Linked DNA regions of Saccharomyces cerevisiae S288C. The protein of the gene in region 3 binds, or shares a complex with, the protein of the main gene of each other region. Each region holds a gene or a part of one and is shown on either strand. Other genes may lie near its edges.

What was found.
Region 1: MRPS12 (region 3) and RSM28 share a complex: the UniProt entries of both Saccharomyces cerevisiae proteins name them as parts of the mitochondrial small ribosomal subunit.
Region 2: MRPS12 (region 3) and MRPS17 share a complex: the UniProt entries of both Saccharomyces cerevisiae proteins name them as parts of the mitochondrial small ribosomal subunit.
Region 4: MRPS12 (region 3) and MRP51 share a complex: the UniProt entries of both Saccharomyces cerevisiae proteins name them as parts of the mitochondrial small ribosomal subunit.

Annotation. Positions count from the first base shown.
Region 1 is NC_001136.10:1,434,378-1,439,864, reverse strand, and holds RSM28 (mitochondrial 37S ribosomal protein mS46 RSM28), read right to left. Parts: upstream 2,936-5,487; coding exon 1,850-2,935; downstream 1-1,849. Other genes in the region: CORVET complex subunit VPS3, read left to right, coding at 1-1,750; MZM1 (Mzm1p), read right to left, coding at 3,277-3,648; IZH1 (PAQR-type receptor), read right to left, coding at 3,991-4,941. UniProt on the Saccharomyces cerevisiae protein: Component of the mitochondrial ribosome (mitoribosome), a dedicated translation machinery responsible for the synthesis of mitochondrial genome-encoded proteins, including at least some of the essential transmembrane subunits of the mitochondrial respiratory chain.
Region 2 is NC_001145.3:634,823-639,799, reverse strand, and holds MRPS17 (mitochondrial 37S ribosomal protein uS17m MRPS17), read left to right. Parts: upstream 1-2,795; coding exon 2,796-3,509; downstream 3,510-4,977. Other genes in the region: GCV2 (glycine decarboxylase subunit P), read right to left, coding at 1-2,300; YMR187C (uncharacterized protein), read left to right, coding at 3,816-4,977. UniProt on the Saccharomyces cerevisiae protein: Component of the mitochondrial ribosome (mitoribosome), a dedicated translation machinery responsible for the synthesis of mitochondrial genome-encoded proteins, including at least some of the essential transmembrane subunits of the mitochondrial respiratory chain.
Region 3 is NC_001146.8:693,861-697,041, forward strand, and holds MRPS12 (mitochondrial 37S ribosomal protein uS12m MRPS12), read right to left. Parts: upstream 963-3,181; coding exon 501-962; downstream 1-500. Other genes in the region: ARC35 (Arc35p), read right to left, coding at 1-187; mitochondrial 37S ribosomal protein uS19m RSM19, read right to left, coding at 1,192-1,467; putative ATP-dependent RNA helicase DBP6, read left to right, coding at 1,735-3,181. UniProt on the Saccharomyces cerevisiae protein: Component of the mitochondrial ribosome (mitoribosome), a dedicated translation machinery responsible for the synthesis of mitochondrial genome-encoded proteins, including at least some of the essential transmembrane subunits of the mitochondrial respiratory chain.
Region 4 is NC_001148.4:323,888-329,637, reverse strand, and holds MRP51 (mitochondrial 37S ribosomal protein bS1m MRP51), read right to left. Parts: upstream 3,011-5,750; coding exon 1,976-3,010; downstream 1-1,975. Other genes in the region: HOS3 (histone deacetylase), read right to left, coding at 1-32; isopentenyl-diphosphate delta-isomerase IDI1, read left to right, coding at 908-1,774; putative DEAD-box ATP-dependent RNA helicase DBP1, read left to right, coding at 3,374-5,227; YPL119C-A (uncharacterized protein), read left to right, coding at 5,351-5,614. UniProt on the Saccharomyces cerevisiae protein: Component of the mitochondrial ribosome (mitoribosome), a dedicated translation machinery responsible for the synthesis of mitochondrial genome-encoded proteins, including at least some of the essential transmembrane subunits of the mitochondrial respiratory chain.

The DNA.
Region 1 (5,487 bases), on a different chromosome or scaffold from region 3:
AGAAAAAATATTCAATAAGTTGAGACTTGAGCCTCTGACACATAGTGATAATAAATTTAGAATTGAAAGAGAACGCGCCTTTGTTGAAGAGTCTTATGAAGAAAAGACCTCTTTAATCGTTTATAATAATTTAGGGATTCATTTATTAGTTCCAACGCCGATGGTCTTACGTTTTACATCATGTGAAGAGTCCGAAATTGATAATATTGAAGATCAATTGAAAAAGCTTGCGAAGAAGGATTTAACAAAATTTGAGCACATTGAAGCGAAATATTTGATGTCTCTTTTATTGTTTCTAATGACCTTACATTACGATCACATAGAAGATGAGGTAATGAAAAAGTGGTGTGACTTTTCTGACAAAGTTGACATCAGAATATTATTTTATATGTTTGGCTGGAAAGTCTATAGCGAGATCTGGTGCTTCCATGGGTTAATAAATATAGTTGAAAGGTTGAAAAGCTTGAAGCTAACTAACAAATGCGAGAATATTCTAAAAATGCTTCTGATGATGAAGAATGAACTAAAGAAAAAGAATAAAACTGGACTCTTAACGAATGACTTTGATGATATAATGAAAACTATTGATATAACTTTATTCAAATTAAGATTGGAAAAAAAGGAAACTATAACTGTTGATATGTTTGAACGCGAAAGTTACGACGAAATTATCAGAGAGATTAATTTACATGATGATAAACTTCCTAGGATAGAGTTACTAATTGAGATATATAAAGAAAAAGGGGAATATCTTAAAGCACTAAATCTTTTGAGGGAAGCTGGGGATTACATTTCACTAGTTTCATTCATTGAAGAAAATCTCAAAAAACTTCCTGAGGATTATATCAAAGAAAGAATAGCCGATGATCTTCTCCTCACTCTTAAACAAGGCGACGAAAATACTGAGGAATGCGCCATCAAAAAGGTTCTTAAAATATTGGACATGGCATGTATTAATAAAAACGACTTTTTAAACAAAATACCCGCAGAAGAAACATCCCTGAAGGTATCATTCATAGAACAACTCGGTGTCCAAAACAGCAACGATTCCAAATTTCTCTTTAACTATTATTTGGCGAAATTGCGAGAAATAATCAACCAAAGTAACATATGGTCCATTCTTGGAGATTTTATCAAAGAGTACAAAGACGATTTCGCGTATGATAAGACAGATATAACAAATTTTATTCATATCAAATTAAAGCATAGTCTTCAGTGCGAAAATTTTTCCAAATATTATGAAAAATGTGAAAACTTGAAATCGGAAAATGAAAAAGATGATGAGTTTATTAATTTCACCTTCGACGAAATTTCCAAGATCGATAAAGAACACATATTGACCTTGTTATTTTTCCCCAATGAATTAACAAACTGGGTTTCTTCCGAAGAATTGCTGAAAATATATTTGTCATTTAATGATTTCAGAAGTGTAGAAAAATACATAGGCAAGCAGAACTTGGTTGCGGTGATGAAACAATACTTGGACATATCTTCTTTGAATTACTCAGTTGAATTAGTGACTAATTTGCTACAGAGAAATTTTGAACTTTTAGATGATACAGATATTCAATTAAAGATCCTCGAAACTATACCTTCCGTATTTCCCGTACAAACAATATCCGAATTGCTTTTAAAGGTACTTATTAAGTATCAAGAAAAGAAGGAGGAATCTAATTTGCGGAAATGTTTGTTGAAAAATCAAATATCCATTTCTGACGAACTAAGCCGGAATTTTGATAGTCAAGGATAAGAAGAGCCCACCTATTCTTTTTCTGTTCAGGCATACAATTCAAATTTTATACGTACTAGATATTTACAGGTATGTAAGAATGAAATAACGATGTTTGATTTACTGTTGTAATTCAGAAATTGGTTTCATTCCAGAACAAACATCATATACCAATTTCTTTTCCTCGGAGCCCATAACAACAGATTGTAATGATAACCTCACAACTTGACTATTTTGTACGAGCTTACTCACAGTATCTTTAGATTTCGTCAGTTTTTCAAAATCTTTTTTCACATATGGTTTTAAGAGTTGATATTCTCCTGTTACTTGCCTATGAAAATCTTCTGGGTCTTCTTCAATAAGTAAATTCTGCAATTGAGGCTCTTTGGCAAAAATCAAGGAGGATCCTGGTGTATATTTACCAAAGTTTGGCGTGTTTAGGGTGAAATCATGTACTTTGAGGATTCCCAAATTTGGCGATCTGTAAATGGGGTAATTGGATTTTTTCAAGCTATCTAAGGTAAAGTTGACTAATCTGGATTCCTTTGTTGGAAAAACTTGAGGAGTATATTCTAACAAAGATAAAGGAGTGGGCTCTTCTAGTACATATTCTGAACTGACAGGTCTCTTGATAACCTTCTGTAGCTGCTGTTGAGGAGCCTTTCTCCTTTTAGATGCTGTTAAGATATGACTCTTTTTTTGAAACCTTGCTTTAGATTTGGGGGTTCCATTGAAATTAACAGGTTTTTGCTCCATCGACGAATTGAAGACATCAAGTAAATCATCTTCGACTCTCGCATCTCCTTTCAAATTATTTTTGCCATTCTGCATCTTTTTGAACTGTGGCTGCATAACTACTGTATTTCCAGTAGGATTCTTTACAAAAGACGTATTAGCACCTTTATTCCACTGCTGCTTGTTAGCACGAACAGAATCACTAGAACGGTTTTTCAGTCTCATGTTTCTTTCTCCTTGATTTCCCTCTCTACCCCTGCTTTCTTTATTGTTCATACTATTCCTATTCTGATTCCCGTTTCTCCTCTTATTTTGCATTCTACCCTCCTTCATCTTGTCCAATTTGAGAGCATTGGAGGAAGCTTTTGCTGTTGCCTCTTGAGCCCTTGCTAGAATGCTATTTATGAAATCTTCTGTGACACTTGTGCTGTAATGAGCGCGACTCACACATCTAAACATGGAGGAGCGCATTTTCTACTCCGTCTATTTCTCTTATTATGGCTCGTCCAACTAGATTATTTAATGAGTTACCGCTGCCCTTTTCCTCTTTTATGCTTTCTCCAGTTTCGTTAAGTTTAATTCCGCTATAAAGCTTTGTTCATTTCCGTCAAAAGGGATAAAGCACTAGCAACTACGCTGTTTCAGTAGCACATCAAATACAACAAGCTGTATACATGTACATACTACAAACAGAACAAATGCAACGATATATCGTGCTAAATCAGTTTATATGCCACCTAGCAAAGTTGCTAGGTACTAAAAAAGTATTTACATGTATATAGCTTCGAAGATAAAACAAAATCAAGGCATTATCATTGCTTTTTATCAGAGCATTTAAATGGTCTTGCCTTTAAGTTTGTTTTCACTCTTGCCGTAGGGTCTGCAATCGTCTCATTGTCACCCAATTCGGTGTCTTTGTGAATGTTCAAATGGTACCTAGGCTCCTTAGTACTTGAGCCATCAACCTTTTTGCCCTGAACCAGGTTTCGTCTCAAAAAAACAGCCACATCCTCTAAATGTTGAATCTGATCCTCTGTGGTGAGTTTAGGATCTGGGGGACATAACATTCCTGAACGCATTTTAGCTCTCGCGGCTAGTAATACTTCAGCATCATTCCGGAAAGCTATTCGGGTTGCTCTTAAGCCATGCCTGTATGCATTCAGGGCCTTTGTTCTCGTGCTCATAGTGTGTTAAATTTATATAATTTGTTCTTTTTATTCTCTTCAGTGAAACGCAAGCGTACCGAAAAATATAAGGAAGTCTTTTAGTCCTATCCTTTTCTCTTCCTCTCTTTCCTTTGTAGTAGGTTCACTTATTCAAACGTTTAATTTTTCGGCATTACTCACTTTAGTAAGACCAAAATTAATTAGGCTAATATAGCGAAGTACCTGTCAAAATGCGATCTATGATAAAAGCATGATGTGACGAATATCTAAAAAGGAATAAAGACTTTTTTTGCATTTAATTATTTTCTAACCTTAGATATATAATGTTATTTATTTGATTTTGTAGTAGTTGTAGGCCCATCAAGGGTGGATATGAGAATGCATTAATTTGTAAGAATCGATAATGGCTTTCAAGTGGCATACAGAACCAAGAACCACCATAATATGAAATATTTGATGAGAGCTACCGAAGAAATCGAACTTCCCTGGAGCCAAAGTTTCAGGAATCCTAAACCCGTAGATTACAGCCCCTGAAATGTAAAAGAGAGCTTCCCAAAACACAAAGCTGACTTTTATTCTGTTAAGAACCCCTTGGATACCGAACTTGAAAAACCCTGTGGTCAATGGGAGTAAGCCACTAAATCCAAACAATATGAAAAACATGGCCCTAAATGGACGAAATGTGGAAGTGTTAAACTTGTCGTGGAGGACACAGACTGTACAAAATGTTGCCAGGACTAAAGTAACAATCGTGAAAAGACTGAAGTAGGATATGTGGTCGAAGTAACCAAAGTATATTATAGGGATCATAGAACAGGAAATCAAACTGATAATCCCCAAGTAGTCGAGCTTGCTCCAGAAATTGCTTTGCTTTTCAGAGTGTTGCTTCATGCAGTGGAAACAGCTACTGCACATGAGACATGAGAAAGCGCCCATCAAGAAAATGTTTATAACGGTGTAATCGGACCAGGAAGTGGAGGGGAAAACGGGAATTAGAAAGTAGTTGGTCAACGTAATGGCAAACACGAAGTATACGATAGCCGGTACCAAATGTGTATAAATGTTCACAGTCTCGTTGTTCCAATAAAATAAAGAATATAAGCACTTTTTCCATGACAGTGTTTCACGAACGTACCCGGTGAGAATTTTGTCATTATCTTTTTGCCATTCTGGCAACTCATCGAAATTGTGTAGCAGTTTTTGCTTTTCAAAAACTGTCTGGCCTGAGACAGCTTCCACCTTAATGGAGGCTCTCGTTGCCTTGCAGCAGACACTATCTTGGTTTCTTCTTCTAGTAGTGGTGATACTCATTTTTTTTCTTCTTTTATCTTGCTTGACTCAATTAAGGCGACTAATAACAAAACGAATGACGAAAATGGAAAACAATAGAAAAGTTAGGAACCAGAATCACTTTTGTAAAGTTAATATTGCGCTTGCGGAGCTCCTTACTGTTTCAACTGATGATACTGATATGCCTTTAGAAAAGAAATCAAATTCTATTAACAGAAGGGTGCCAACATGTACGTATATATATATGTGTGCGTGTGTATATATGTCTGACATATACATGAGTAACCGGCTAAGTAAGGTTTTTACGTTGATTGCTGCATCCATCGGTCGTGAGTATTGTCAAATTGCCGATGCCCTGCAGGCAAAAAAACCGTTGAAAAATCGTTGGGAAAATGGGCTTGCCCGACTGTCGGATTTAAGGGCTTGGACCCTAAAGGTTGCATGATAAGACCTACTTATTTTAGCATATAACCCTATAAAGGTGAAAATCTCAGTAGGGTTATTTTCGTTTAAGGGAGCATGAAAAATTCAAGTTAGTACATATTAATGGCTTTGAGATATTGCGGA
Region 2 (4,977 bases), on a different chromosome or scaffold from region 3:
CAAACATCTGCACCAAGATCTCCGGGTGAAGTTAGCCCAACCTGCGCATTCATATTAGCACCATCCAAATAGACTTGTCCACCAAAAGAATGTACGATATCAATAGCATGTTGGATGCCTGGTTCAAATAAACCGTAAGTGGAAGGATAGGTGATCATTACGGCGGCTAGTTCTTTAGAATGTTGTTCAGCCTTATTCTTTAAGTCAACCAGATCTAATGAGCCATCCTGCAAACAGTTGACAGGAACAACTTTTAAACCCGCCATAGCGGCAGAAGCCGGATTTGTACCATGAGCGGATACAGGGATTAAACACACGTTACGATGATTTTCACCTTTGCTTTCCAGGTAGGATCTGATTACTCTCAGACCAGTATATTCACCTTGAGCACCTGAATTTGGTTGTAAAGAAATACCATCGAAACCTGTAATGCTGCATAAATCTTTCTCCAACGAAGTAATTAGTTCCTTGTATCCTTGGACTTGGTTTGATGGCTGGAACGGATGGATATTCGAAAATTGGGGCCAAGTGATTGGCATCATTTCAACAGTACTGTTCAATTTCATAGTACAGGAACCTAAAGGAATCATAGAATTAGCAAGAGATAAATCACGAGATTGCAACCTATGTAAATATCTCAACATTGCTGTTTCGCTATGGTGCATGTGAAAGACTTCGTTCCTCAATATTTCATCAGTACGCTGAAATTCCCTTGGGAAACTGTTAGAATAGTCCTCAGAAAGAAACTGCGAAGAATTTTCAATGTCAAACACTTTTAGTAGATTTTCAACATCAGCTTTTGTAGTTGTTTCATCAAGAGCCAAGGAAATAGTGGTGGTGTCCACGGCAAACAAATTGATATTAAATTCTTTCAAGGCCTTGTCCAATAACTGCTCGGAGGATATGCCATTACCTAACTTTATAGTCAAAGTATCAAACCATGTTTTATTAATTAGTTCGTGAGGGCAACTGTCATTTTCGATGGCATTTGCCAATATTGATGTTAAGCTAAATATCCTCCTGGAAATATTCTGTAGGCCCTTAGGACCGTGATAAACACAGTAGCTCGAAGCAACATTAGCCAGTAAAGCTTGAGCGGTACATATATTTGAAGTTGCCTTATCACGCTTGATATGTTGTTCTCTTGTTTGGAGGGCCAACCGCAAGGCCGTCTTGCCTAAGCGGTCTTTAGAGATACCGACAATTCTACCTGGAATTTTTCTGTTTAATTTATCAATAACAGCGAAAAAAGCAGCATGAGGACCACCATAACCCATTGGGACACCAAATCGTTGAGAGGAACCCAGGACGATATCAGCACCGTAATGAGCAGGTGGTTTTAGAAGTGTCAAAGCCATTAAATCTGAGGCCACAGAGAGCAAAGACTTGTGAGAGTGTAACGCATCAGATAACTGTTTCATCGAGTCAGGCGGTAAGATTGAACCATCTGTCGCTGGATATTGAACCAAACAACCAGATACGTCGGGGTTCTTTAAAACATCCACAGCTTTCTTGATATCCGAACAGTCAACTTCAATAATTTCAATATTGAACGGCTTGGCTCTGGTGTGAAGGACACTCTTTGTTTGCTGGTGTAATTTTTTATCTATTACGTATTTTAGTTTCTTTTTTCTGGAAATATTGAATGACAAGAGCATAGCTTCTCCAGCCGCTGTACCCTCATCCAACAATGAGGCGTTCGCCACAGGCAAACCAGTCAAATCTGAAACAACCGTTTGAAAGTTTAATAGCGCTTCTAGCCTACCTTGAGAAATTTCGGGTTGATAGGGCGTATAAGAAGTATACCATTCTGGACTTTCTAGCAGGTTTCTTTGTATAACCGGTGGTAAAATCGTACCGTAGTAACCCTTACCTATGAAATTTTTAACTTTATAGTGGTTCTTATTGGCAATCTTTTCTAGATGTTGAAGCATTTCTTGTTCACAGAATCCCTTACTAGGAGCTTCTAGTTTCAAGGGTCTTCTCTTCAAAATATTGGGAGGAACGAGCTCTTCTATAAATGCGTTTAAATCGCTATAACCCATTGTTTTTAACATTTTCTTAACGTCGCTAGGAGAAGGACCTAAATGACGTCTAGCAAAAGTATCTAGCGGTCTATCAATGTTTTTCAAGTCAGGATTGAAAATCCTGCTGTACTGTGTAGACGTTATGTCTGTAGCGGCTGTTTTGAGCAAAATAGATTGAGAATGGAATGATCTAGTCCTCGCTAATGAAACATAATTGGTGCTTGACCTGACAGTAGCCCTACAAAGGAGAGCAGTCACTCTTGTCCTAAGCATGTTATCTTCCTGGTATTAGGAAACGTTTTTCCAATAAACTGTGGTTAGTTGATGGTTAGATCGCGCAGCAATCAATACAGTAAGATTGGTACACACGAGAAAGACTAATTCACTGGAACTTGAAGAGAAGAAAATTGTGCCACTCGAGCCTGCTATATATACATCCATTTATATTCGTTGGAGATCTTTCGACTAGCTTATCAAGGTCCTTCACAGCTCAATGCTGACTTCGATGACTCCTCTGAGAGTCATGACTCCGAAAAGGAGGAGTCTATACCTCAAGAAGAGTCAGAGATGTCGGGTAACGATTCAACCGGGTAACATGATTGTTATTTCATAAGATTAGAATTCTGAAGCAATTTGGGATTGTGCCAAACCAATGCGAGCATCAAACTGTTAGAGGAAATCCACAAATAAGGCCAAACAGAAGTAAACTCAGGGAGTTGAATTCGGGTTAGAGATTTCAAAAGTCAAATCAAGATCAGTTAAACTGTAATGGCTCGCCAAAATTTTTTAGGCTTGGTCGTCTCCCAAGGGAAGATGCAAAAGACGGTTAAAGTACGTGTAGAAACAAAAGTCTTTAATAAGAAAATCAACAAGGAGTTATTTCATAGAAGAGATTATTTAGTGCATGATGAAGGTGAAATATCAAGGGAGGGTGATTTAGTAAGGATAGAAGCGACGAGGCCGCTTTCAAAGAGGAAGTTTTTTGCCATTGCAGAAATTATTAGAAACAAGGGTCAACAATTTGCATTATACGAATCAGAAGCTCAGTTAAGCGTTGCAAAAGAAGAAGCCCAAAAGGCAAAAGAATTTTTGGATAAAAGATCAGTGAGGGAGAATAAACTAAATGAAAAAACAACCCTTTTACGTGATATTAGGACCATCCAAGATGCTTTATCTAGCGGGTCAACGCCGAAAGAGTTATTGGAGATTAAACAAAGGTACGGCATTCAAGATTTTTCACAAGAAACAGTGAGGCAACTTTTACAGTTAGACATCTCTGGATTGGAGGTTAATTTGGAGAAACAAAGAAGTCTCATTGATCGTATTCAAACGCGATTATCCGAATTGTTGTCGAATGATCTAAAATGTGATCAATTTTTGAAGGATCATGGTGTTGAGGATCCTTTGACCTTGAAAAAAAACATCAAAAAAAATTTGTTAAGAAAGCACGTCATGATGGATATGCAACAACCAAGCCAGTAAATAAAAGAAAGAGGAAAGCCGAGTGTCATATTTTCTCAACTAAAGCACTACACTCTGTAAATATATACAACTACAAGACTTCGTTACGTAAATAGTAAAGTGTTATGTTTTGACTTTAAAATATTCTAGTGAAAAGAACGATGTTTTTGATTTTCTATCGTTTAACGCATTTATATATTTTCAGGCAAGTGATATCGAAGATGTGAGTACATCGCTCGTCCCCATCGTCAAAAACAAAAGTAAATAAAAGAGCTCTGCTCTGATTTTACAAACAAGAAAATTCCAAGGAAATAGTCCAAGTTTTATATGACCCCACCTCATTTTTTTTTATCTCTCATAAAAAAAAGATGCATATGCTGGATATGTTTGGAAGAATCCACATATGACTCTACATGGCTACAGCACACGTGCGGTTGCAACTTACAAATTCATAAACGCTGCTATATAAGATGGCTCTATCAAATGCATGTTGAACTTTTTCTTCCGAACACAGTGGACCTACCAAAGGATGCTGATTTACCTATAATCACCTGTTTAAAATGTCTCGTTGATGGGCACCATGATTTTATGACGACTTTCTCTCTTACAGAAATATGGGAAACTCGTCCCATTTGGGGGCAAAAATCAGTACCGTTTCAAAATGACTACGTGTTCAATCTAATGTCTCTTTATACCAAACGGGATAATCATCCACCTTATGTGTTAGTGAAATTTGGCGAATGTCCTCAATGCAAGAAAACAAATTTCATAAAAAGACCTACAGTAACCATCCAGTCTTCTGTACTATCCCTGTTTTATCAGTGGCAAAAAATTACACGATACGTGATACCATTAGGGATAACTAGTTTATTTCTTTTAAACCCTGAAAAGACAAGTTTTGACATTGGATTATGGCAACTACGCTGCCTTTTCCCTGAGAATGTTCTACGAAATATGTTAAACATCAGCACTACAAAGGCATTGGACGTATATGCGCAAACTGAACGTGGCTTATTAAGCATTCCTTTAACCTCCTCGATCATAATATATGGGTTCATACATTATCTTAGCAACATTTCTAACGTCAGTGCTAATGCAATACTCTTTAAGTGGGTGTATCTCAGTATTGTAAAAACTGCTGGAAACAAATATTACAAGGGTATAGGTTTACCTAAAATAATTTTGTATTCTAACTTGGCTACATTTTGCTATAATTTTACCTTTAAAAGATTGGTTGACTTAATTTACAGGAGGCTGATCAATAAAGGAGGTAAGTATTTGTATCACGGAAATTTTGAAAACTCTAGTAATAGCGTTCCAGCTGAGGAATTTTTTATCAGGCGGAATTGGTATGCTATTCTTGCAGAAAAGATACTATGGCCCTTTGTTGGTAAATGTACAGGAGGTCTTCTATTGAATGCTTTTCTATGGATACAGAGAAAGTTTAAAATTGAATGGACGCCGAATTGCTCCCCTTCGGAATTTAGAA
Region 3 (3,181 bases):
AAGCTTTGGTCTTAACACTCAACAACAGAATGGACTTATCTTCTGCTGTGTTTGAAATGTGGTAGGTGGTATAGTCGAAATCGGAAACAATTCTGTCCATGGTCAACGGCGAACCCTTGCGAAGTGCCTCTATCGCTTCATTCAGTGTCTTTTGGATGAGAAGGTTTTGTGGTTGTAAGTGTAGCATTGCGGATTACCGTTTTGAGGCAAGAAGATTGCTAGTCTTGTATCTACACTAGTTCCTTTGAACGCTAGTTAGCCCCTATGCTTATAGTATTTCTTGTCAATACAAGCGTCTGAAAATTCAGATCGCTTTATACGAGTAAGTATGCCAAATACACCAAATATACCAAAGCATTGATTGCGTATACTGAGAATACATATATATATATATATATATATATATGTATGGTCATTGCTATTTACAAAAGGTTGTATGGAGTGGGAATATTAGAGAAAAGTAGTCGAGAGGCCAAAGAAAACTTAGAGCGTACTGCGCATCACGATTTACTTGGCTTCTTGGCTCCATATTTCGACCTCGAAGAAATCCTGTTTACCACACCACTCAGGTCACCAGCACCTCTGATAACATGGTACTTCACACCAGGCAAGTCCTGACAACGCCCACCTCTGACATATACAATCGAATGCTCTTGAGCATCGTGGCCCTCACCCGGTATATATGCAGATACCACGTTCCCGTTAGTCAAACGGACCCTGCACGCCTTTCTCTGCGCAGAATTCGGCTTCTTGGGCTTTAAAACCATTACACGTAATACGACACCCTTCCGCTGGGGACACTGATCCAGTTGTGGAGCTGTACTTATCTTCTTGCGTCTTGGAGGCCCGGAGCCTCTTTTAATCTGATTCAATGTCGCTTGCATTGTCGTAGTGGAGGAAAACAATCTCTGCGCCTGTCTCAAGGGCGTACACCATGTGTTGGACATAAACCTCGACAACATGGCTCTTGTTGGCCTGCTTCAATTCTGGTGTACCTGTAAGTTCTCCGTCTTTTCCCTGGTTATATGCGTTTTTTCTCCCCAAATCGTTTTGTCGCTCGGGTAAGACTGAAATGCTTTTAAAAGCACTATTACTGTTTATTATGCTATATATATATATATATACAGCCCGAGTCTGGCTTGATCTTATTTACATGATATATCATCTAGAAATCTATATACACTAGATCCCTCATTTGTTCTTGGTTTGAGTATAGCTGAAACGCTTCCTGGTAGGTGCGAACTCGCCCAGTTTGTGGCCCACCATATCTTCTGATATTTCAATAGGTACGTACTCCTTACCATTGTGTATTTGAAATTTCAGTCCCACGAACTGAGGAAGGATGGTGGCGGCCCTTGCGTTTGTTCTTATTGGAGTGCCCTTAGTCATGGCCTCCCTTATGGGTAATGGCACGATGTTGGGGCCCTTCCATACGGACCGCGATAAAAGTCTAGCTGCCGGTTGCATTTTATTTTTGGTGGACACTACTTCTGCCGATGCTGTACTGCTCTTGCAATGAACCTCACCGTTTTAAGTCATGGTTAGATTCTTACTAGGCGCTTCCAATTGCCATTTCTTGCTCAGCCATAACCGTGAATAGTGATCCAAACGCTAATGCCGGGTGATGCTTAAAATTTGAAAAATTATTGCAGATTTGTATTATATAGAAAGCATAACTGGCGATGAGATGTGCTCGAAACTGGACACCTTTACCATTGGTGACCGGTAGTGACAATGTTTGCATCGAGATTTGACCCTAGCCAATTGACTGCTCCTGCAGCTAGCGCACCAGAAGGAATCGTCGGAACTACTCCCCCGGCCATTGTGCCTTTAAAGAGGCAGGCTACTGAATCTGATAATGAAGAATATGGCTCTCACCAAGATTCTGATGAGAGTTCCAACTCTAGTTCAGAGGAAGACGAAGACCGTATGCAAGTAGATTATGGGGCTAGTGAAGAGGATTCGAGTGAAGTGGAAGAGGAAGAGAGTAAGCCAAGTACTCACAGCACAGTGCTATCGAGATTCAAGCAAACAGTATCATTGCAAGAAAGGCTAGGTGCATCTGATATTGCTGAGAGTAAGGAAGACGAAGGTATTGAAGACGAGGCGGCCTCAACTCACCAACTAAAACAGATTCCTCAACCTGAATTCGTCAAAAACCCAATGAATTTGAATACAAATTCATTACAGTTCAAATCTACGGGTTGGTTAAATACTGAGAAGATATATTATGATAATTCCTTGATCAAACCGTTCTCGGATTACGCAAATGAATTAGAAGCAAAACTACTGCAGAATATTTGCAAGAATTTCTCTACAAACACTTTTCCCATCCAATCGATCATCCTAGACTCCATATTACCGGTATTGAACTTCACGTTGAACGTATCTAAGAGAAACTTCACCAGAAGAATCGGTGATATTCTTGTAAATGCTGCTACCGGTTCAGGTAAAACTTTGGCTTACTCCATTCCTATTGTTCAAACCCTCTTCAAGAGACAAATTAACAGACTGCGTTGTATAATCATCGTCCCCACAAAACTATTGATAAACCAAGTTTATACTACGTTGACAAAGCTAACTCAAGGGACGTCGCTTATTGTGAGCATTGCCAAATTAGAAAATTCTTTGAAGGACGAACACAAAAAATTATCAAATTTGGAACCAGATATCTTAATCACTACACCTGGTAGATTAGTAGATCATCTAAATATGAAATCGATAAATTTGAAAAACCTAAAGTTTTTGATTATCGATGAGGCTGATCGTCTTTTGAACCAGTCCTTCCAGGGCTGGTGTCCAAAACTAATGTCCCATTTGAAAACGGATAAATTAGATACACTTCCAGGGAACGTGATCAAAATGATCTTCAGTGCGACATTGACTACCAACACAGAAAAGTTAAACGGCTTGAACCTTTACAAACCAAAGTTGTTCCTGAAGCAAACCGATAAATTGTACCAGCTACCTAACAAATTGAATGAATTTAACATCAACATTCCCACGGCGAAAAGTGTTTACAAGCCATTGATATTGTTGTATTCAATATGCCAATTTATGGCACATTCCCCCATTGCTGCAAAGATTTTGATTTTCGTTAAATCAAATGAATCGTCTATCAGATTAAGCAAGTTACTACAACTTATCTGTGAATCTCGCTCACAATCCAGCGTATTGAAAA
Region 4 (5,750 bases), on a different chromosome or scaffold from region 3:
CTCTCCAATGGATCTGAATGCTTGGAAGACATATTATATCGTCGAATTTCTCTGTTTACTTCCAGAGCCCTTTTTTTCGTTATATTTTCAGTGACTTAAGAAGTATTGGAGAAACTGAACTGATCAACTCCACACGAAAAGAAAGTTTGTAATTTGGAAAAGGACTAGTTTTTCAAAAGAGAAGATCTGATAATAGATCAAGCGATAAAAAAATTAACAAGATCTTATTGTTCAATTCAGAAAAAAACGTAAACAAAAAATAGTTCTTCATGTTTAAAGGAAAGAGTAAAATAGTATTATCCCTTGATTAGTTGTTTACAATTCTTGAAACTTTCCCAAACTGTTGTTTACATTTCTCTAAAACAAAAATAAAAACATGAGCAGGGTAACACTCAAGGGTCCTAAAAAAATTAGGTTTTATTACAGAAATTGTATAGGACATTTTTAATATTACGAGGGTAAATAAATAACAGTCACAGAATAGTATAGGTTATTAAGGGCTTCATGCGGCTATTTTGCCTATATTAATTTCTTTTTTTTTTCTTTTTTCTTTTTTTCCGCTGCTATCGGTAAAAGTTTCCGTTCTTGCTGGAACGAAATGGACAAAACTTAATTGTGATTGAAATTTTTCCAGTCAACAGTTTCGCAATGACGATGCCCAGCCGATTCTTTTCCCTTTAATTGTTATTAAGAAACATGATTATTCATAACTCTTTTCTTGTCGATGGGGGTTGCCTTTCTTTTTCGGTCTTAACTCCATTTATATTTATTTATTCATTTTTATCTATTTAACAGGAAACAGTTTTCTAGTGACAAGAAGGCGTATATCCCACTTAATTCAATATTAGAGTATTCGTATTTGGAATACAGGAAGAGTAAAAATAAGCCAAAAATTCATTACACCTCAATGACTGCCGACAACAATAGTATGCCCCATGGTGCAGTATCTAGTTACGCCAAATTAGTGCAAAACCAAACACCTGAAGACATTTTGGAAGAGTTTCCTGAAATTATTCCATTACAACAAAGACCTAATACCCGATCTAGTGAGACGTCAAATGACGAAAGCGGAGAAACATGTTTTTCTGGTCATGATGAGGAGCAAATTAAGTTAATGAATGAAAATTGTATTGTTTTGGATTGGGACGATAATGCTATTGGTGCCGGTACCAAGAAAGTTTGTCATTTAATGGAAAATATTGAAAAGGGTTTACTACATCGTGCATTCTCCGTCTTTATTTTCAATGAACAAGGTGAATTACTTTTACAACAAAGAGCCACTGAAAAAATAACTTTCCCTGATCTTTGGACTAACACATGCTGCTCTCATCCACTATGTATTGATGACGAATTAGGTTTGAAGGGTAAGCTAGACGATAAGATTAAGGGCGCTATTACTGCGGCGGTGAGAAAACTAGATCATGAATTAGGTATTCCAGAAGATGAAACTAAGACAAGGGGTAAGTTTCACTTTTTAAACAGAATCCATTACATGGCACCAAGCAATGAACCATGGGGTGAACATGAAATTGATTACATCCTATTTTATAAGATCAACGCTAAAGAAAACTTGACTGTCAACCCAAACGTCAATGAAGTTAGAGACTTCAAATGGGTTTCACCAAATGATTTGAAAACTATGTTTGCTGACCCAAGTTACAAGTTTACGCCTTGGTTTAAGATTATTTGCGAGAATTACTTATTCAACTGGTGGGAGCAATTAGATGACCTTTCTGAAGTGGAAAATGACAGGCAAATTCATAGAATGCTATAACAACGCGTCAATAATATAGGCTACATAAAAATCATAATAACTTTGTTATCATAGCAAAATGTGATATAAAACGTTTCATTTCACCTGAAAAATAGTAAAAATAGGCGACAAAAATCCTTAGTAATATGTAAACTTTATTTTCTTTATTTATTTACAGAACTCTGAATATACATTGATTGTTCACATTTTTTTTTTCTCTTCTCAATTTCCCTTGATTATATTCAAAAGGTTATTGGCCTCTTGAATGTTTCCCACTGATGGTCGACGTGCCCTTCTAGAGGTCAATGGTTTATAAATTGGTCTCTTATTGAAAAATTCTCTGGTCTTGTCATTTTGTGGTTCGAGTAATCTAGCGTGCATCGAAACAGAACCATTTTTCTCCATAGATGCCTCCAAGATCTCGAACAAGAACGTTTTCATTCTGATGAAATCTCCCATGGAGTTAAAGGAACTAGGTGGTGATTGGAAAAATACCACATCGGCCACAAACCCACCAATAGCTGCCAGCCATTTATTGTCGTTGTTCTCCTTAACAACGTTCAAGATTCTACCGGGTACTACAGTCCTTTGAATGACACCATTTGGTGAGTTTTTTAGCTTTCCTGGCAAGCTGTATGATAATCCACCTGTACCAATGATTTCAGTGTTAAATTTTTTATTCGTTTTTGTTTCCAACTTTTTGTTTAGAAACTTCACTACATAGTCTTCCAGCTTATTAGAATTCAATTTCAATTCATCCGGATGATTTTCCACCAGCCACTCTTTAAATTCATCTTGAAACGATCTAATTAGTGCTGTTATCTTCTTCAAACGCTTCTTCATAGCAGCAGGCGAAATATCTGTATCTCCTTTCATTTCTTTGAATAAGGACAATTTAGCATGAGACTCATCCTCAGGACGAGATATGTACTTGAAAAATGGATTTTGTCTGCCTATATTAGACACAATTGGTACTCCCATTTCTTGAAATCTTAGCCTATTCCATTGCGTACCGCCTCTAGGTTCGAATGTGGTAATTCTTTCCAACGTATCCAAATCGTTGTACACCAAATATCGAGATTTAATTTTCGAAGGAATAGCGGATTTCAACCCCCATTCTTGTCTGTATAGTGTCGATGGCTTAGTTTCGATGATTTGATGTGTTGGATGAAATTTTTTGCCAGTGTATGTCAATGGTTTATGATTGTTAGCTACTTGAGCTATTCTCGACCGTCCAAGCAACTCTGCCAATGTCATTTCGTTCAATTTTTTCTAAAATAAAGAAAAAGAAAAAGAAAAATGATCGAAACAGTCTCACCAAGGGTTGTAGCAAATGTCTGTATGATTTTTTTTCTTCATCACGGCACCTATTCGTATTGCTCCTTTAACTCTACATCTAAGTTCTTCATTCTTTGATTTCTCAAAACAAATATCACTGTCAACGTAAATATTACCCCGCGAGTTCTTTAACAATTTTAAGGGAAGGTTACTTAAGGTCATCTCTGAAGTAATGCCTTTATTTTATAACAAGGATTATTCATGATTATAAAAGATATCGGTAGTGTCAGTTAAAGGATATTTTAAGAAAAACCCCTTTGAGTGAAAGTATTACAAGAAAAAATGGCAGACTTGCCACAGAAGGTATCTAATTTAAGCATCAACAACAAAGAGAATGGTGGTGGTGGCGGCAAATCATCTTATGTCCCACCGCACTTGAGAAGTAGAGGAAAACCATCATTCGAAAGAAGTACCCCAAAACAGGAAGATAAGGTTACGGGTGGTGATTTTTTCAGACGTGCTGGAAGGCAAACTGGGAACAATGGCGGGTTTTTTGGCTTTTCTAAGGAAAGAAATGGAGGGACGAGTGCGAACTATAACCGCGGAGGCAGCTCAAATTACAAATCATCTGGAAATAGATGGGTAAATGGCAAGCATATACCGGGGCCTAAGAACGCGAAATTAGAAGCCGAACTGTTTGGTGTACACGACGATCCCGATTACCATTCATCTGGTATAAAGTTTGATAATTACGATAATATTCCCGTAGATGCATCTGGAAAAGATGTTCCTGAACCTATACTAGATTTTAGTTCTCCCCCTCTGGATGAGCTGTTAATGGAAAATATCAAACTTGCTAGTTTCACCAAACCTACTCCAGTACAAAAATATTCTATTCCAATAGTTACCAAAGGTAGGGATTTGATGGCATGCGCACAAACGGGCTCAGGTAAGACAGGTGGGTTTTTGTTTCCGCTCTTCACGGAGCTATTCAGGTCTGGGCCCTCTCCAGTACCCGAGAAAGCACAGAGCTTTTATTCTAGAAAGGGATATCCATCTGCTTTAGTACTTGCACCAACTAGAGAATTGGCTACCCAAATTTTTGAAGAAGCAAGAAAATTTACGTATAGATCTTGGGTTAGGCCATGCGTTGTTTATGGTGGCGCGCCAATCGGTAACCAGATGAGGGAGGTTGACCGCGGCTGTGACTTATTGGTGGCTACACCAGGGCGGCTGAATGACTTATTAGAACGCGGAAAAGTTTCTTTGGCTAATATCAAATACCTGGTATTGGATGAGGCTGATAGAATGCTAGATATGGGATTCGAACCCCAAATTCGCCATATAGTTGAAGAATGTGATATGCCCTCTGTGGAAAATAGACAGACCTTGATGTTTTCCGCCACATTCCCAGTAGATATCCAGCATTTGGCACGCGATTTCTTAGATAATTATATTTTTTTATCAGTAGGAAGAGTCGGTTCCACCTCAGAAAATATCACGCAAAGAATATTATATGTCGATGACATGGACAAAAAGTCTGCGTTGTTAGATTTACTGTCTGCAGAGCATAAGGGATTGACATTGATTTTTGTTGAAACGAAAAGAATGGCGGATCAACTCACAGATTTTTTGATCATGCAAAATTTCAAAGCTACAGCCATACATGGTGACCGCACACAGGCTGAACGTGAACGTGCCTTATCTGCTTTCAAAGCTAACGTAGCTGATATCCTGGTCGCAACAGCTGTAGCAGCGAGAGGTTTGGATATACCGAATGTCACACATGTCATTAATTATGATTTGCCCTCCGACATCGATGACTACGTTCACAGAATTGGTAGAACAGGCCGTGCTGGTAACACAGGCGTGGCTACTTCATTCTTCAATAGTAATAATCAGAATATTGTGAAGGGTTTGATGGAAATTTTAAATGAAGCGAATCAAGAAGTTCCCACGTTTTTAAGTGACCTGTCAAGACAGAATTCAAGAGGTGGAAGAACTAGGGGAGGAGGAGGTTTTTTCAATAGTCGTAATAACGGTTCAAGAGACTACCGTAAACATGGTGGAAATGGCTCATTTGGGAGCACGAGGCCAAGGAATACTGGAACATCAAATTGGGGTTCGATTGGAGGTGGGTTTAGAAATGATAATGAGAAAAACGGTTACGGAAATAGCAACGCTTCATGGTGGTAAGCAGAAAGAATAAAAGACTAATCCAAATATAGAACTCCTTTAATTTTTTTCTTTTTATTAATCTCCCTTTTTCCTTTCTTTATCTCTTCGTTTTCACTCCAGTACTATACAGTCATACGTTTTATGCATCCATTAGTCGATGAATTGACTCTTTCACGCTACTTGACCCACGGTACTTCAGTTTTATCAAGTTCCCTTTATTCTGTTGCTTTCTTTCTCTTTTTTTTTCCCAATTTCCTTTTTTTTTGCTCTTGTCCCAATCATAAATGGGTGAGTTTACCGTTTATTGGAATGGATATTTTGGAAGCCCTTTGTTTTTATAGAGAGGGAAAAATACGGAATATTTTTGAAATAGGTGGTCTATTACTTCAGAGTTTTTATAATTAAATCTTGAATTTTGCAATTTGGAAGCAAAATATTCATTGCCGGAGAAGGAGTTATTATTATACGTGTAAAAAATAACTCAATGTTATATTAGGTCTATAATTGTTGATATCTGGCATATCATCTGATGAAAGACCAA